Linked DNA regions of Mus musculus: all the other regions are reported to be linked to region 1. The links are microRNA targets in miRTarBase. Many come from high-throughput screens and were not tested one by one. Region 1 holds a microRNA gene; each other region holds the end of a gene's coding sequence.
Evidence for each region. Region 1 holds the annotated microRNA mmu-miR-17-5p (CAAAGUGCUUACAGUGCAGGUAG, at 1,754-1,776, shown strand). A microRNA usually pairs through its seed, bases 2 to 8, with sites in the 3' UTR of a target mRNA and lowers its output. Matches are read on the target gene's strand: a 7mer-m8 pairs with bases 2 to 8, a 7mer-A1 pairs with bases 2 to 7 and ends in A, and an 8mer does both.

Region 2: miRTarBase lists Cpe as a target of mmu-miR-17-5p. Seed matches in the 3' UTR shown: 7mer-A1 at 548-554 and 7mer-m8 at 732-738.
Region 3: the mRNA of Entpd7 is a reported target of mmu-miR-17-5p. The part of its 3' UTR that is shown has no 7-base or 8-base seed match.
Region 4: the mRNA of C1qa is a reported target of mmu-miR-17-5p. Seed matches in the 3' UTR shown: 7mer-m8 at 628-634.
Region 5: miRTarBase lists Klhl2 as a target of mmu-miR-17-5p. Seed matches in the 3' UTR shown: 8mer at 2,477-2,484, 7mer-A1 at 1,916-1,922 and 7mer-A1 at 1,868-1,874.

What each region holds. Positions count from the first base shown.
Region 1 is chr14:115,041,931-115,045,050 of GRCm38, forward strand. It overlaps Mir17 (microRNA 17), which reads left to right and starts at 1,741; the gene lies at 1,741-1,824. It overlaps Mir18 (microRNA 18), which reads left to right and starts at 1,921; the gene lies at 1,921-2,016. It overlaps Mir19a (microRNA 19a), which reads left to right and starts at 2,070; the gene lies at 2,070-2,151. It overlaps Mir20a (microRNA 20a), which reads left to right and starts at 2,227; the gene lies at 2,227-2,333. It also overlaps Mir19b-1, Mir17hg and Mir92-1.
Region 2 is chr8:64,590,399-64,593,472 of GRCm38, reverse strand. It overlaps Cpe (carboxypeptidase E), which reads left to right. Exons shown (of 9, transcript NM_013494.4): 9 at 252-931. The coding sequence ends at 350. Among named protein-coding and RNA genes, the nearest start is that of Mir710, 77 kb to the right of the region's middle.
Region 3 is chr19:43,729,510-43,732,583 of GRCm38, forward strand. Entpd7 (ectonucleoside triphosphate diphosphohydrolase 7) reads left to right here. Exons shown (of 13, transcript NM_053103.5): 13 at 189-3,074. The coding sequence ends at 426. Among named protein-coding and RNA genes, the nearest start is that of Cox15, 22 kb to the right of the region's middle.
Region 4 is chr4:136,893,509-136,896,582 of GRCm38, reverse strand. C1qa (complement component 1, q subcomponent, alpha polypeptide) reads left to right here. Exons shown (of 3, transcript NM_007572.2): 3 at 1-667. The coding sequence ends at 429. Among named protein-coding and RNA genes, the nearest start is that of C1qc, 2.1 kb to the right of the region's middle.
Region 5 is chr8:64,738,367-64,741,440 of GRCm38, forward strand. It overlaps Klhl2 (kelch-like 2, Mayven), which reads right to left. Exons shown (of 15, transcript NM_178633.3): 15 at 1,309-2,608. The coding sequence ends at 2,580. Among named protein-coding and RNA genes, the nearest start is that of Msmo1, 6.3 kb to the left of the region's middle.

The sequences.
Region 1 (3,120 bases):
TGCGCGCGCCGAGGGCGGGGGGGGGGGGGACATGGCGGCGACTGCGCGCCGCCGCCGATTGTTCCCGGCTTAGGCCTCGGGCCGCGTGCGGCGAGCGCCCTGTCCGCCCCCCTCCCTCCCCCGGAGCCTGGCCGGGGGGCGCGCGGGACACAAAGGACGGCCGGCGTGTCCGGAGCCTCGCCACGCTCGGGCCTCCGCGCCGCCGCTCGCCGCGCAGCCGCCCAGAAACGGGCGGGGGTTGGGGGGGGGGGGGAGTCTCCGCGTCCGGCGCAGCGCGGCCCGGCTCTGACCTGCCGCCCCCTGGCGGCCGCGCGGGGAACCCACAAGGGCCGCCTGCCCCCTTGTGCGACATGTGCTGCCGGCCCGGGCTCCATGAGCGTGGCGGGTACTTGGCAGGATCCCGTGTTCCCGTCCGGTTTTCTCTTGATAAGCTGGCGCGGAGGGGAGAAAACTGGAGAGCGCAGCAGGGCTCGTGGTTCTTAGGTGACCAGAGGGAAGAAAATGAGCAACGTGCCACGAGGATCACAGCAGTTGGGGAAACAACTCTTTATCCCGGCGTGCAGCCACGAGGTCCTGATTGGGGGAGGGGTGGTGAAGACTAGTCCTGGTTGCCCTTTTTCTCTAGCTTGAGCTGGACAGTAGAGTTCAGGCTTGCTGCTACTCATCTTGCAGTATTTCAGGGGCACATTAATTCGTGCACGGATGTGAATCTTGGTGGGTTTTCAACTTTATTTTGTTACAGCGTTTTCCACCCAATACATTGTTGCCCTCAGGACCTTGTGGTCCTGGCTCTCTCTTTTTTTTTTTTTTTTTTTTTTTTTTTGGCAAATGGATAGAATTGCCCCTTAGGAAGATTAAGAGAAGAGCAACTTGGAATGGGGCTCGGAAAGTGGTAGTAATTTTGAGCAAATGTGCTTACCCTTTCTCTGTCTTCACCCCACCCCCAACCCTAGTCATACACGTGGACCTAGCAGCACCCGAAGCATTGCCCAAGGATACTTGCTGAGAAGGAAGTTTGCCTGAGTGGGTGAGTATATTCTAGTTTTGTAGCTAAAACTTCTTTTGAGACCTTTGGTTTTCACTTTTGTCTTTGAGCTTGTACAACATTCTTGGTCTTTTAAGGTATGAAATAAATACAGTTTGAACTCTTGTCATAAATGAGTGAGCCACATTTTAACGTAGTAAATCTACAGTGGCTTTTGGACACTAACCAAATAGTTGTAGACCCTTCAAGTTGGAGTCATAGAGTATTTCTAATTTGGGGTGATACTAAGACTTTTTTATGTTTTATGACTAATAAACTTGAAAATGACTAAACAATAATCATTAATCTTGTCGAGTATCTGACAATGTGGAGGACAGAAGAAAGGGATTGCTGCCTGGTCAATGTGAGGCTTTCCTCTAAAGGTAGTACCAAGTCAGACTGCCTTCCTGATAACAGGTCTCATTTTGTAGGACCCTTATTGTGTGTTTTTTGGGGAAGCCTACTGTAAAAGCCAACATTTTAATGGGATTGTATCTTATATTTCTTTAAGGAGTTTTTTTTTTTTTTTTAAGGCTTACATGTGTCCAATTTGGAACTTCTGGCTATTGGCTCCTCCCCTCCCCCCCTTGGGTATAAGCTGTAATTGATGTTTGTGACAGAATTTAGAGCTTTGGCTTTTTCCTTTTTGTCTAATTATTTATTTCAAATTTAGCAGGAATAAAGTGAACCTCACCTTGGGACTGAAGCTGTGACCAGTCAGAATAATGTCAAAGTGCTTACAGTGCAGGTAGTGATGTGTGCATCTACTGCAGTGAGGGCACTTGTAGCATTATGCTGACAGCTGCCTCGGTGGGAGCCACAGTGGGCGCTGCCTCGGGCGGCACTGGCTGCGTCCAGTCGTCGGTCAGTCGGTCGCGGGGAGGGCCTGCTGGTGCTGCGTGCTTTTTGTTCTAAGGTGCATCTAGTGCAGATAGTGAAGTAGACTAGCATCTACTGCCCTAAGTGCTCCTTCTGGCATAAGAAGTTATGTCCTCATCCAATCCAAGTCAAGCAAGCATGTAGGGGTCTCTCCATAGTTGTGTTTGCAGCCCTCTGTTAGTTTTGCATAGTTGCACTACAAGAAGAATGTAGTTGTGCAAATCTATGCAAAACTGATGGTGGCCTGCTATTTACTTCAAGTGTTGTTTTTTTTTAAACTAATTTTGTATTTTTATTGTGTCGATGTAGAGCCTGCGTGGTGTGTGTGATGTGACAGCTTCTGTAGCACTAAAGTGCTTATAGTGCAGGTAGTGTGTAGCCATCTACTGCATTACGAGCACTTAAAGTACTGCCAGCTGTAGAACTCCAGCCTCGCCTGGCCATCGCCCAGCCAACTGTCCTGTTATTGAGCACTGGTCTATGGTTAGTTTTGCAGGTTTGCATCCAGCTGTATAATATTCTGCTGTGCAAATCCATGCAAAACTGACTGTGGTGGTGAAAAGTCTGTAGAGAAGTAAGGGAAAATCAAACCCCTTTCTACACAGGTTGGGATTTGTCGCAATGCTGTGTTTCTCTGTATGGTATTGCACTTGTCCCGGCCTGTTGAGTTTGGTGGGGATTGTGACCAGAAGATGTGAAAATGACAATATTGCTGAAGATGCCGATTTCCACTGTAAAAATGTTCACGAGCTGATGGAGTGTATGAACACATTCTGTAAACTGTGATTTCTATTGCTTTCGTTGGTGTGTAAAACGGGATTTTTTTAATTGAAATTTGTGTTTTTAAATTGTGGTTTGTTTTTACTGAATCATTTCATTTTCGTGTTTGCTCGCTGGATTTAGTAAGAAGTTGTGTGTGGGGGCTTAGGTGAAGTTAAACTGCCTTTTGAACCTGGTATGACTTCAGGTTTATTTTACTCTAAAACCCATTAACATGAGTTAAGAAAAATGTTACTTTCTTTGGATCTCTGTTTATTAAAGTGTGACAATTCAGATGGAGTGTTTTCTGATAAGATTATTCCTAATCCGTGAGTTCTTAACAGTTAACAGGTGGTGGCCACTCTGTTAATGTGCACACCCTGTAAGAAAGAACTATCCTTGGACTGTTCTTACCATGTGACCCCCTCAAGGGAAAGATGGCAAACTGATGGTCAGTA
Region 2 (3,074 bases), not on the chromosome of region 1:
TCCATGAGGGGGTGTGGGGGGAGACAGTCATGGCTTTTATAAAACAGGAGCTGTTTTGAAGCTATTCAGTTTAAGGTGAACTCTCTTCTGAATGTTGTACCTACAAAACTATATTGCATTTATCACCGATTTTAAAAATACTCCTTTAATTCAGGTGGCTAGATTGAGTCTATTCTACTGTACAAGCTACAAACCCCCTTTCTAACTATATAAGCGACCTGACAGCAATCTGTTCTGGTTTTCCTCCTCAGGTGGACTTTGAGCTTGAGTCTTTCTCTGAAAGGAAGGAGGAGGAGAAGGAAGAATTGATGGAGTGGTGGAAAATGATGTCAGAAACTTTGAATTTTTAAGAAAGGCTTCTAACTAATTGCTTTAATCTATCTATAGACTGTAGTAAGATGCAATGTGGCTCTTTTCTTTTAGGTTGTGTGCAGTTGATATTTAACATTGATTTATTTTTGATCATTTAAGTAATAGTTAGTAATCACGTAAATACACCCGGACAGAAATATAATGTCTGGATCTACTTCATTCTTACATCAACATTCACTTTAAAATCTATCGAAGCTCTTTTAACGTAATGGGTGACAATGTCACATGACAGATGCCATGAAGAAGTCAACCGATATAGCTTGGATCTGTGAACCCTGTACTGCGAGAATCACATAGTTCCATATAAGTTGTCCTTAGTCTCTTGTGCTGATTCACTGTATAAGCATGATCCTGGTAATGCACTTTGGATGGGAAGAAAATGTACGTGCTTTTCAGAGGGGCTCTGAACAGAATGAAAACCTAGTTCTTGCGTGTACTTTGAAGAATGGAATTGTATTAGTCAGCCTGTTAATGCCACTTCAGAGTTTGGGGTTTTGTCTTGATTGTAGATTGGCCCAGAATTGCATTCTGATGAATAAAGGCAAAAAAAAAAAAAAAATCCCATGGTGTGCATTTCTCTATGATGTTTTTGATCTAATGCTGTAGTTTCATGTGTGTGTGTGTGTCTGTGTGTCTGTGTGTGTGTGTCTGTGTGTCTGTGTGTGTGTGTCTGTGTGTGAGTTTGTGTTCCTAAGTGGCTTATAAAGGTGAGAAGGCCTTCAGATTCCCTGAGATTAGACTTGCAGGTAGTTGTAGGTGCTGTGATTGGAATCTGCTTCTCTCAACTCATTGGCACAGGGGGAAATTTTCTAAACAGAACTCCAGTGATGCACACTTTAAGATCAAGAATTGATAAATGGGACCTCATGAAACTGGAAAGCTTCTGTAAGGCAAAGGACATAGCCAATAAGACAAATTGGCAACCTACAGATTGGGAAAAAATCCTCACTAACCTCACATTCAGTAGAGGGCTAATATCCAAAATATATAAAGAACTCAAGAAGCTAACCACTAAAAAACCAAACAACCCAATCAAAAAATGGGATATAGAACTAAACTTAGAATTCACAACAGAGGAATCTTGAATGGCTGAGAAACACTTAAAGAAGTGTTCAAAGCCATAAGGGATCAGAGAAATGCAAATCAAAACAACCCTGAGATTCCACCTTACACCAATCAGAATGGCTAAGATCAAAATGTCAGGTGACAGCACATGTTGGTGTGGATGTGGAGAAAGAGGAACACTCCTCCATTGCTGGTGGGACTGCAAACTGGTACAACCACTCTGGAAATCAATCTGGAGGTTCCTCAGAAAATTGGAAATAGATCTACCTAAAGATCCAGCAATACTACTCTTGGAAATATATCCAAAAGATGCTCCACCATGCCACAGGGGCACATGTTCCACTATGTTCATAGCAGCCTTGTTTGTGATAGTCAGAAGCTGGGAACAACTCAGATGTTCCACAACAGAAGAATGGATACAGAAAATGCGGTACATTTACACAATGGAATACTATTCAGCTATTAAGAACGAGGACATCTGAGTTTTGCAGGCAAATGGATGGAACTAGAAAATATCATCCTGAGTGAGGTAACTCAGACCCAAAAGGACATGCTTGGTATGTACTCATTAATAAGTGGATGTTAGCACCCAAAAATGTACAGAATACTCAAAATACAGTCCACAGAACTCAAAAAGGTCAACCAGCTGAAGGGTCCAAGTGAGGGCCTCAGTCACACTTGGGAGGGAGAAGAAGCAATCACAAATGGGGAGGGAGGGGCGACTTAGGGGGGAAAGAGGGTTGGGGGGAGGGGAACATGATCTGGTATTGTGTGTGTGGGGGGGAAAGGACTGAAGCCCCGAGGGCCAGCAAAAAGGATGGAAACAGGCAACCTCGGGAGGTAGGAGGTTGGGGAGATCCTCCAGAAAGTACCAGAGACCTTGGAGGTGAGAGACTCTCAGGACTCAAAAGGAGGAACCTTAGATGAAATGCCCTATGTTGGGGAAAAGGAACATGTAGAGCCCACCTCCAGCAGAAAGACAGGGCATCAAGTGAGGGATGGGGTTGCCATCCCACAGTCAAAACTCTGACTCATAATTGTTCCTGTCTGAAAGAACTGCAGGGGTTGAAATGGAAAGAAGCCTGAAGAAAAGAAGGTCCGGTGACAGGCCCAAAGTGGGATCCAGATCAAAGGGAGGCCCCAAGGCCTGACACTATTACTGAGGTTATGGAGAGCTCCCAAAAAGGGACCTAACATGACTGCCCTCTGAGAGACCCAACAACCAGCTGAAAGAGTCAGATACAGATATTTGTACCCAACCAATGGACAGAAGCTGCTGACCCCTGTGGTTGAATTAGAGGAAAGTTGGAAGAAGCTGAGGAGGAGGGCAGCTCTGTAGGAGGACCAGCAGTCTCAATTAACCTGGAGCCCTGAGATCTCTCAGACACTGGACCACCAACCAGGTAGCACACACCAGCTGCTATGAGGCCCCCAACACATATACAGCATAGGGCTGCCGGGTCTGCATTCAGTTAGAGAAGACCCTCAAGTGACTTGAAGCCCCAGGGAGTTTAGAGGTCTGGTGGTATGGGGTGTGTGTGTGGGGTGGGGTGGGGTGGGGTGGGGACATCCTTGTGGAGACAGGAGGGGTGGGTAGGGGGTATGGGATGTGGAACAGTCAGAGGTGGACGGGGGGT
Region 3 (3,074 bases), not on the chromosome of region 1:
CAAGGAAGGGAAGGTGCTGGAAGTCGGTCAGCCCTTGGCCCTGGGTGTCCTTAAGCTTCATTTGCTGGCCACAGCTGGTTTCTTAGAATGTCTGAGTGGAGAGATAAGAGGGATAAAGTGGGATGGAGACTTCAGCCGACAGCCCCAGTCCACTTTGAAACTAACAGTTCTCTCTCCACTCGCCCTAGGGACCTTCGGCAGGGACAGGGAGGAGTCCGGCCAGCCCACGGCAGCTGGCTCCGCCTTTCCTTTGTCTACAACCACTATCTCTTCTTTGCTTGTACCCTGGTGGTGCTTCTGGCCATCGTCCTGTACCTTCTGCGCATCCACAGAATTCACCGCAGACAAACCCGAGCCTCGGCTCCTCTGGACCTGCTGTGGATCGAGCAAGTGGTGCCGATGATTGGGGTCCAGGTGGGGCCGTGAGGCTGGAGCGGAAGTGGAGAACCTCCCATTCCTTCGGATTGCTGCTGCTGCTGCTGCTGACTGAATTCCTCCACTTTCTCGAACTGGCCTCCGATGCTGCTTTGGCCTGCGAATTTCTACTTATTCACTTTGATTTCTTTTTGGTGCCCAGGACGGGACCTCTTCTCAGAAGTCGCAATTTAACTTCGAGGAACTAAATGTCGAGAGGCTGGTGCTAAGCTTAGCCCAAATGAAGCATGCTTCTCCTTTATCTCAGAAATTTGATCTGTTTCTGGGATGTAGCATCCCCCCCCCCCCCCCGCCCCTTGCTGAAGCAAGTTTTTGATTGGGCAACCGGAGGCGTGGTTGAAATCAGCTTGGATTGACTGCTACAAAGCCAGAGACATTCCAGCAAGTGCAGTTGCCCCTGTTTTCTCTGTAACAGAGAGATCCTTATGTGGAAGATCCACAGCCTTGAATAGGGACCTAAGATCTCTGAGGTTCAGTGGACCAGATTTCAAGGCAACCAAAACGATACAACTTCCTTGCTTACTTGACAAGCCATTGTGGATGTGCTCGGAGATTCACCCCCCCCCCCCCCCCGCAGTGTTTCTGATTTTGTTATATAGATCTGAAAGGTTAGAGCGCCTTTGAAATGGATGACTTATTGAAGATCTGACAGTATTTTATCTGATACTTGGTCTGACCAGTATAGAAAACATTTTCATGTCTATGTGCCTCACAAGGCTGCTTGGGCATTAATATTGCCTTTTGAGCCTTAAGTGTGCTTATAGATTGGAGAAACCGTGATGGGAACAGGACCTAGTTTTGCCTGTTTTGGTTACGGCCTCACAGGCATATAGCGTGTAGAAGATTCAAAGTGACTTCCCTCATTTCACTCCTAAGATCTTATATATATATATTGGGAAGGAATGTACTTGTTTTGTTTATAAATTATGTTTTGTTTTAAGAAAGAATAGCATCAGGAGAGTGGGCAAAGGCAATAAAATCCAAGGTTTTGATTTTTGTTTTTGTTTTTTGTTTGTTTGTTTTTTGTTTTGTTTTGTTTAGTTTTTTTGAGACAGGGTCTCTGTAGCTCTGGCTGTCCTGGAGGAATTTGCTCTATAGACCAGGCTGGCCTTGAACTCAAACTCACAGAGACCTGCATCTTCCTCCCGATCACTGGGATTAAAGGCATGAGCCAGCATGCCTGGCTTAAAGTCAAAGATCTTACTTTTTTTTTTTTTTTTTTTTTTTTGAGATGCTCAAAAGACAGCAAATTCTAAACTTTGGAATAACTAGATAAATCTGCCATGGAGCAACCTGGCCACTTTCTGGATGTCTGTCACAAATAGCTCTCCCACTAGCGGGGAGAGGAAAGCCATATTCCCGATGTTCTCACCTACTGCCTCTCAGACGGCCTTCTCTGCAGCCAGCCTTTCATACTGTAGTCCTCCATCGTCAGCTCCTCCCTGCCCCCACCTGGGATTGTTCCCAGGGCCGAAGCAGGAGTTTGATTTCTTCTTTTGGGGAGTAAGGCAGGTCTCCTGAGCCCAGTTTTCTAGGTCGCCAAGGCCAGCCTTGAAGCCCTGATATCCCTGCCTCTGTGTCTTTGTAGCGCTGGCTTCAAGGAGAGCATCACCAACCTGGCTCATTTTCTCTTCATTTTGCCAAAGCCTTTTATCTCTAGTGTTGGAGTTCAGAAGAAAAAAAAAAGAGTCTAAAGGAATAAAAATGAATTTCTTTGATAATAAATTCCTCCTGGGAACAGAAGGAAATGAAATGATTTATGAAATAGAGAAAAAAGTCAAGATGGTCTTAGGGAGGAAGCCAACGTGAGGATGAGTGTGTTGACTTAGCAGTTAGGCAAGGCTGCAATTACCATCATCTCCTCCCTCTTCCTCCCCCTCCTCCCTCTCTCTCCTCGCCCCCTCTCTCTTCTTCCTTCTCCTTTCCCTTTCCTCCCCTTCCCTCTTCTTCCTCCTCCTCCTCCCCCTTCCTCCTTTTCTTCCTTTTCTTCCCCCTCCCTCCCCTCTCCCTCCCCTCCCCCTCCTCTTTTCTTTTCTTTTCTTTTTTTTTTTTTTGAGGCCGAGTGGGTGTCACTAAGTAACTCAGGCTGGCCTGGTTCTCAGTGGTCCTCCTGCCACAGCCTCCTGAGTGCTGTGATTACAGATGTGTGCCACCATGCGTGCACATTAGATACGTGCACACCTAGCAAAGAATTCTTTCATGTCATCTACTTTTCATTAGGGCTGTGAGGTTGACATCTTAGGACTTCTCAGTTGTCTCCCTTCTCCATCATTCTAATTTTTATGTCCTGTGAGTGAGCCTCTGCTTTTTTTTTTTAATGTTGCTATAAAATGCTCTTACCAGCCATTTGCTTCCTCAGGGAACATTTAGCTTCATCTTGGTTTCTATATAGCTGTCTTGGTGTGTTGAGAGATCTAGTCAGAAGTCCCTGGGCAGGTTAACAGTGGCCATGTTCATGGGCTCCAATTGAGACTGGAGGAGGGAGGTGGTAATGGTCTGGTTGTAAAGCTCTCATTACTGATCTTCCTCTTTGTCCTGATGCTACTAGAAGCTTCCATCTGTCAAGCACTTATTTGTATCCCTCTTAATGTTGTGTTCTTTACTATATATCATTTAATCATTACGGCAGCCTTTCGGAT
Region 4 (3,074 bases), not on the chromosome of region 1:
GGCAATCCAGGCAATATCAGGGACCAGCCCCGGCCAGCTTTCTCAGCCATTCGGCAGAACCCAATGACGCTTGGCAACGTGGTTATCTTTGACAAGGTCCTCACCAACCAGGAGAGTCCATACCAGAACCACACGGGTCGCTTCATCTGTGCAGTGCCCGGCTTCTATTACTTCAACTTCCAAGTGATCTCCAAGTGGGACCTTTGTCTGTTTATCAAGTCTTCCTCCGGGGGCCAGCCCAGGGATTCCCTGAGTTTCTCTAACACCAACAACAAGGGGCTCTTTCAGGTGTTAGCAGGGGGCACCGTGCTTCAGCTGCGACGAGGGGACGAGGTGTGGATCGAAAAGGACCCCGCAAAGGGTCGCATTTACCAGGGCACTGAAGCCGACAGCATCTTCAGCGGATTCCTCATTTTCCCCTCGGCCTGAGCTGGGGATCTGCCCCTGCATCCTGCCATCTCCTGCGCTCCCTGTTGTGGACCACGCCCCCCCCTCCGTCCTGCACCCCTCCCCTCCGCACTCTGCAAAGTGAAGGGGCTGGGGCTTTAGCACCCTGGGGGAGGGGCTGTCTCGGAGGGAGGGCACTGAGGACTGATGTTTCTGCACACTGCCCAGTGGTTTCTTTAAGCACTTTCTGGAATAAACGATCCCCGTCTGTGTCTGTGACTTTCCGTGCAGTGGCTGGCTGTTCTGGGCACTGAGCAGGAAAGGGGCATAAAAGTGGCCATCGCTGCTGGGCGGTGGTGATGCACGCCTTTAATCCCAGCACTTGGGAGGCAGAGACAGGTGAATTTCTGAGTTCGAGACCAGCCTGGTCTACAAAGTGAGTTCCAGGACAGCCAGGGCTATACAGAGAAACCCCGTCTCAAAAAAAAAAAAAAAGTGGCCATCGCTGACTGCTTGGCTGACTGGGAAAGCAGTGTTAGTTAGCACTGTACACAATGGTTGCGGAGGGCATATCAACCAGGCTCCAGATGTCAGCCCCTGCTAGCTGCCAGATCACACCACATGACCTCAGTTTCCAAATCTGCTAAGTGGTGCCAGTAATGGAAGTTTGGAGAGGGGAGGGGGCTGCCGTGGCCAGGGCGTGAAAGCTGGAGACAGGGGTCTGTTGTTCTGTGTTGGTCAGTCTTGTTGAGCAAGCTCCTAAGTGAGAATTCTAACCATACTTCCCAGATGACTAAGGAGCAGGGGGCATCAAGCCCCAGGTCAGTACCTCAGGCAAGGAGCTGCAGTTGAAATCAGGCTAGCTGACCAATACCCTCCCAGTCTTCCCAGTTATCCTTGGACAAAACCACACAGGTGCTTCTGCAGCCTAGCTCAGAGAGGGCAAACAAGTGGCTCTCTCGGACACCCAGCAGTCTTTCCCAGAGCTGAATTTCCTGAGCGGTTGGTTTCCAGGAAGACATGGAGAGTGGATTGCTGTCACCTGACTGCTTAGCAGCCCTGGGGGTGGGGTGGGGACAACTGAGGATCTTGGGTGCTCAAGTGCATTCCCACAATCCCAGGCTCAAACACAATCACACATGGAGATATACACACACAGTTTCACAGCAATCACACATACACTGTCTCCTGCTCACATACACACTACCCTTGAGACTTACCATGATCCCATGTGGGCTGAGGCTCACCCATTCCTCACCAGAACATGGGCTCAGGGACTTCCTCTCAGAACACTATGTACAGCCTTGGAGGTACACACTAGTCACGTCTCCAAACACACGCATGCATCCAGGCACATGGGCGCACACACATGCACACACAGACATGCACAGTTGTAATGGATGTGCACATTTCCACATGCACAGAATACGAAAGCCTGTGTTTCCTCCCACACTAACCCCCATGTGCTCACAGCTCAGTCGGGGACTATTCCCCCCTCCTGTTCACTGGCTGGTGCACCTGGTCTCAGAGTCATCCCTGACATGGCCTGCAGGTACATTTGGACACACATCATCATGCCCTGTGACTGCAGCCGAGAGCCTCTGGGGTCAGGAGGAGGTGAGACACTCCAGGGAGATTAGACCCCCCTCAACTCCAAGCCACCACATGATCCTCAGAGTTCCTTCTTGGCTTCTTCTTGATCCCTCAGCCCCCCCTCCCCCCATGCCTGAATGCACACCTCCACAGGCTGGGAAAGACTTTGACTTTGGGGACCCCGTGTACTGGCTTTCAAAACAAAGTGTAAAACAGCCACTGAGGCTCCCTGACATAAGGCACCCTGCTGGAAGGTGGGGGATCTACAGCTAAGCCAGGCTGTCTGGCCTCAAAGTGGAGAGCTCCTGTCACTTTGTGGGGTCATGCCTGACCCAGTAAGTGGAGAGTGTGGAACCTTTCCTTAACCTACATTCCAGACACTCTGAAAACCCGCAATTCCTCTGAACCTGGAAGCTGAGCCTGGCAGAATGGTGGGCGTGGTGGAGAAGGCTGAGCACGGACCGAGCCTGACACCTGCTGGAAGAGCCAGGCCAGGCACAGAGGCGCCCAAGACCGAAGAGCAAGGGATTCATCACTACCACCTCACAATACAGAGCCCACCACGCTCGGCTCCTCCCAGTCCCTCACCCTTACCTTAGCCACATAGCATATCCTGGGCTACAAGTGGAGGGACAGTCAGGAGGACTGAAAGAGCAAGACCCTGTGGGCTGCTCAACTAGGTATCCTGAATTGCTAGTGTGGGTCAGGATGTAGCATATGCAGGGTGTAGAGAGCCTGGCTTAGATGTAGCTCCCTCCCCAATGCCCTACACAGGACCCCAGCCCAACCCCAAATCCAGGTAATGAGAGCATTAAGTTGGGCTATCCTACTGCCCCAATCTGCCTTCATCCCATAAATTCCACTTGAGGAAAGAGTCAGGAAGAGGCCTGGCCTGACCACTGCAAGTTCCAGGACCAGAGACAAGGTGGGGGCAGGATGAAGGGGGTAGAAAAACCATCAAGGTGGTGGGGGCCTAGCAAAAGAAGAGGTAGTGCCAATCAGGTCTCTGGAATTCCTACATCCAGTGGGGAGATCAGTCTGCGGGGCAGTGACTGCGTCTCCTGGTCAGGGAGAGACCAGCAAGAAGGAAAAGC
Region 5 (3,074 bases), not on the chromosome of region 1:
TAGGGCATGGCACCTTCGATGTACAGCGGTCACCAGATTGATTGGATGATTAAAGGACCTCTCACACAAGGGGAAGAGACTGTTAGGCAAGCCCAGTTAGAGTGGTTGAGACAGTGCTGGCTCTAAGGATAGGACAGCTCCCTGCCTTGCCTCAGAAACATCTCAATCTGTATGCTTTGCAATATCTAAAGCCAAACCAGAATATAAGATGGGGGTGCTGATGCAAACTTTTAGTTCCAGCACTCAGGAGAAAGGTTAAGTTTAAGACCACCTTGGTCTACGTAGGACAGTCAGGGCTACATTTGAGACCCTGTATGATGAAAAAAAAAAAAAAAAACCAAGAAAAACCATGAAGCAAATCAGAATATGTCTTCCTAAGTTGTGAGCTATCTTAGCAAATAGGGGTCACCCAAGGAGGGAGTGTCACTACAGTCTGCTTCTAGTCAGTTGGGAAGAAATACCAGTGACTGGTATCTGAAGTTGGGGTGGGGAGGCTGGTGGGGCTGAGCCCTCAGTCTTATGGGATCCGACCCTGTTTCTTGATTGGGTAAACTGAACTATTGGCTATTCAGGCAACAATCTTTGGAGAACTGCTGTGTGTGAGGGCCCTTCACAAACATGTAGTCATAGGAATATTCTGTGTTGTGATAAGAGAAAGAACCATTCATTCCTCATTTCTAGGAACTGACTGGGAAATAGAATGTCTACCTTCTCTTGGCGCTGCTGTTAGACATGGCTGAGTTCCAGACTCATTAGACCCCTGACATGTTTGCTAATAATGGCCAAGCTGGAAGGCTGCACTAATGTGGAAATTCATGTTTCATCAAGTGAACACAGGCCCTTCCTGATTAAACTCTATCTTTATTTGTAATGGAGACTTCAACTGTGCAATGTGGTTCTATTTAAATGTGAACAGTTTGTATCAACCACAGAGAAATTTTAGCATGTGTTTCTTTCCTGATGATTATAACTTTTGCTGACAGTGTGACCCTTTAGATTCCTCTCCTGACAGACAATCATAAGCTTAATTTTCCTTTCCAATTCCACCCTTTCTGTTGTGCCCTGCACTCAACCCACTCCTTCACTCCCATCCTTCAGCTCTGTGTATTTATTATCAAAGCCACGGATCCTCAGTTGCTTCACAACTGTTTCCCCTTCTATCAAGGCTACTTACTGTTTTGTTTTTGTTTTTGTTTTTTCATCTATGTGCTACTGATCCTAAAGAGTAAGGAAATATAATAGTTTAGTCAGTCCATTACTTTGATGGCTGAGGTCAATATTTTTTCCCCAAGAACAACTCCCAGTGTTATTGGTTATTTCTTTAATAGATTTAGTGTACAAGTTACTTTAGCAAAAAATAAATAAAAATGAAAACACAGAATTGTTCCAAACATGAAAAATAATGGTATCAATGTATGAAGTCAGAGAACCCAAGGTCTGCAAAAGGAATAGTCAAAAAGTCACACTGGTAAAACCAAGGACGTTGTGAAACAAATAATATACAAACTTTTATTCAAAGATAATTCAAGAAAGACACATGTTGGTCATCTTTAAAGAGATTAATCGAAGATCTCAGAAAAACTATCTGCTCAATACACATGATTAGTCACAGAAAGCTTTCTCTTCCATTAATAGCAGCTAAATTTATACACACAGAAAAAATTCTTAAGACCATGCAAATTCAGTTGAATTCCACACATTCATTATATTCATCAAAAAACCTGCAGGTATGTTCATGCCAAAAGTGTTACTTTAAGAAAAAAAATTAAAAACACACACCAAAACATGATCAAGATTAAACTAAAGAAAAAAATAATAAATAAGCATAATTTATATTTTATTTAAAAAAGTTTGGCATCACACATATTAAAGTGTGTTACGCCATGTTCATTCATTCCTCAGAAGTGGCGTTTTTTAAAGTGTTCAGCATTGTTAAATATCAAAAAATACAACTCTGTTTTACAATGTAGTACTGGCATAATTCAAAGTACTGTGCCAATTATAAATAGATAATCAAACATCTTTTCAAACATATTTAAAGGAAAGCATATAGACACACATTTATATGCACACAATTTATTATAGTCATGTAATCAAAGATACTTATAAAAGCCAGCAGTTTCACCCCTCAACAGTGTCATATACTTACATAGATTTTAATCTGCTCCAAAGATTCTCTGTTCCCAGGAGATTTTTCAGGAGAAAGAATAAAGATAAAACTTAATTTTACAAGAACACACGTTAACTTTATTCTCTTTCACAAAATAATCCATAGTCATTCGAGGCTGATAAGAACTAGTTTTTATGAAAGCGACTGTTGCCTAAAGACCACAGTGGAGGGACTGCAGTCTAGGTCTCTTGTAAAGTCAGTCAGCTGCTGCTCGGTGCAGAGAAAGCCTACACAGTGCTTCTACCAAAAATAATCTTCAGTATCCGAGGCCTCTGAAGGCAGATGGTCTCATCTTCTGCTGAGACGTAAAGTGCGGCTACAAGTGGAGAGGCCAGGCGCTCAGTCCCTTCAGAAATACTTGTGGACGCCTGGTTCTCATGGAATGATACGCTGAAAATGTCCTTCAGGCTCATAACGGTTTATCAATAACTGTGACCCCTGCATGAAGGAATGAAAAGATAAGACATGTCACAGGCAACACTCTGCGCCTTTGAGAAAATCAAGAAGCCTGTACTGCTAAAGCCACGGGCAACACCCAAGTGCCTTTCCTCCAACTTAGCAGCATCATGTTTTAAAACTTAGATTATCATATTTTATGTGAGTGTTTTGCCTTCATGTATGTATGTGTACCATATGTGTGCCTTATGAAATCAGAAGTCAGAGAAAGGCATGGATCTTCAGGTACTGGGTTAGAGATAATTGTGAACCACAATATGGTTGCTGGGGATAGAACCTGGGTCCTACACAAGACCAACAAGTGCACTCAATTCCTGCACCATCTTCCAGTTCTTACTGGTTTCTTTCTTTTCTCTCTTTCTTTTCTCTCTTTCTTCTCTCTCTCTCTCTTCCTCCCTCTCTTTCTTTCTTTAAAAAAAAAACTTTTCTTAAAACAAACAAACAAACA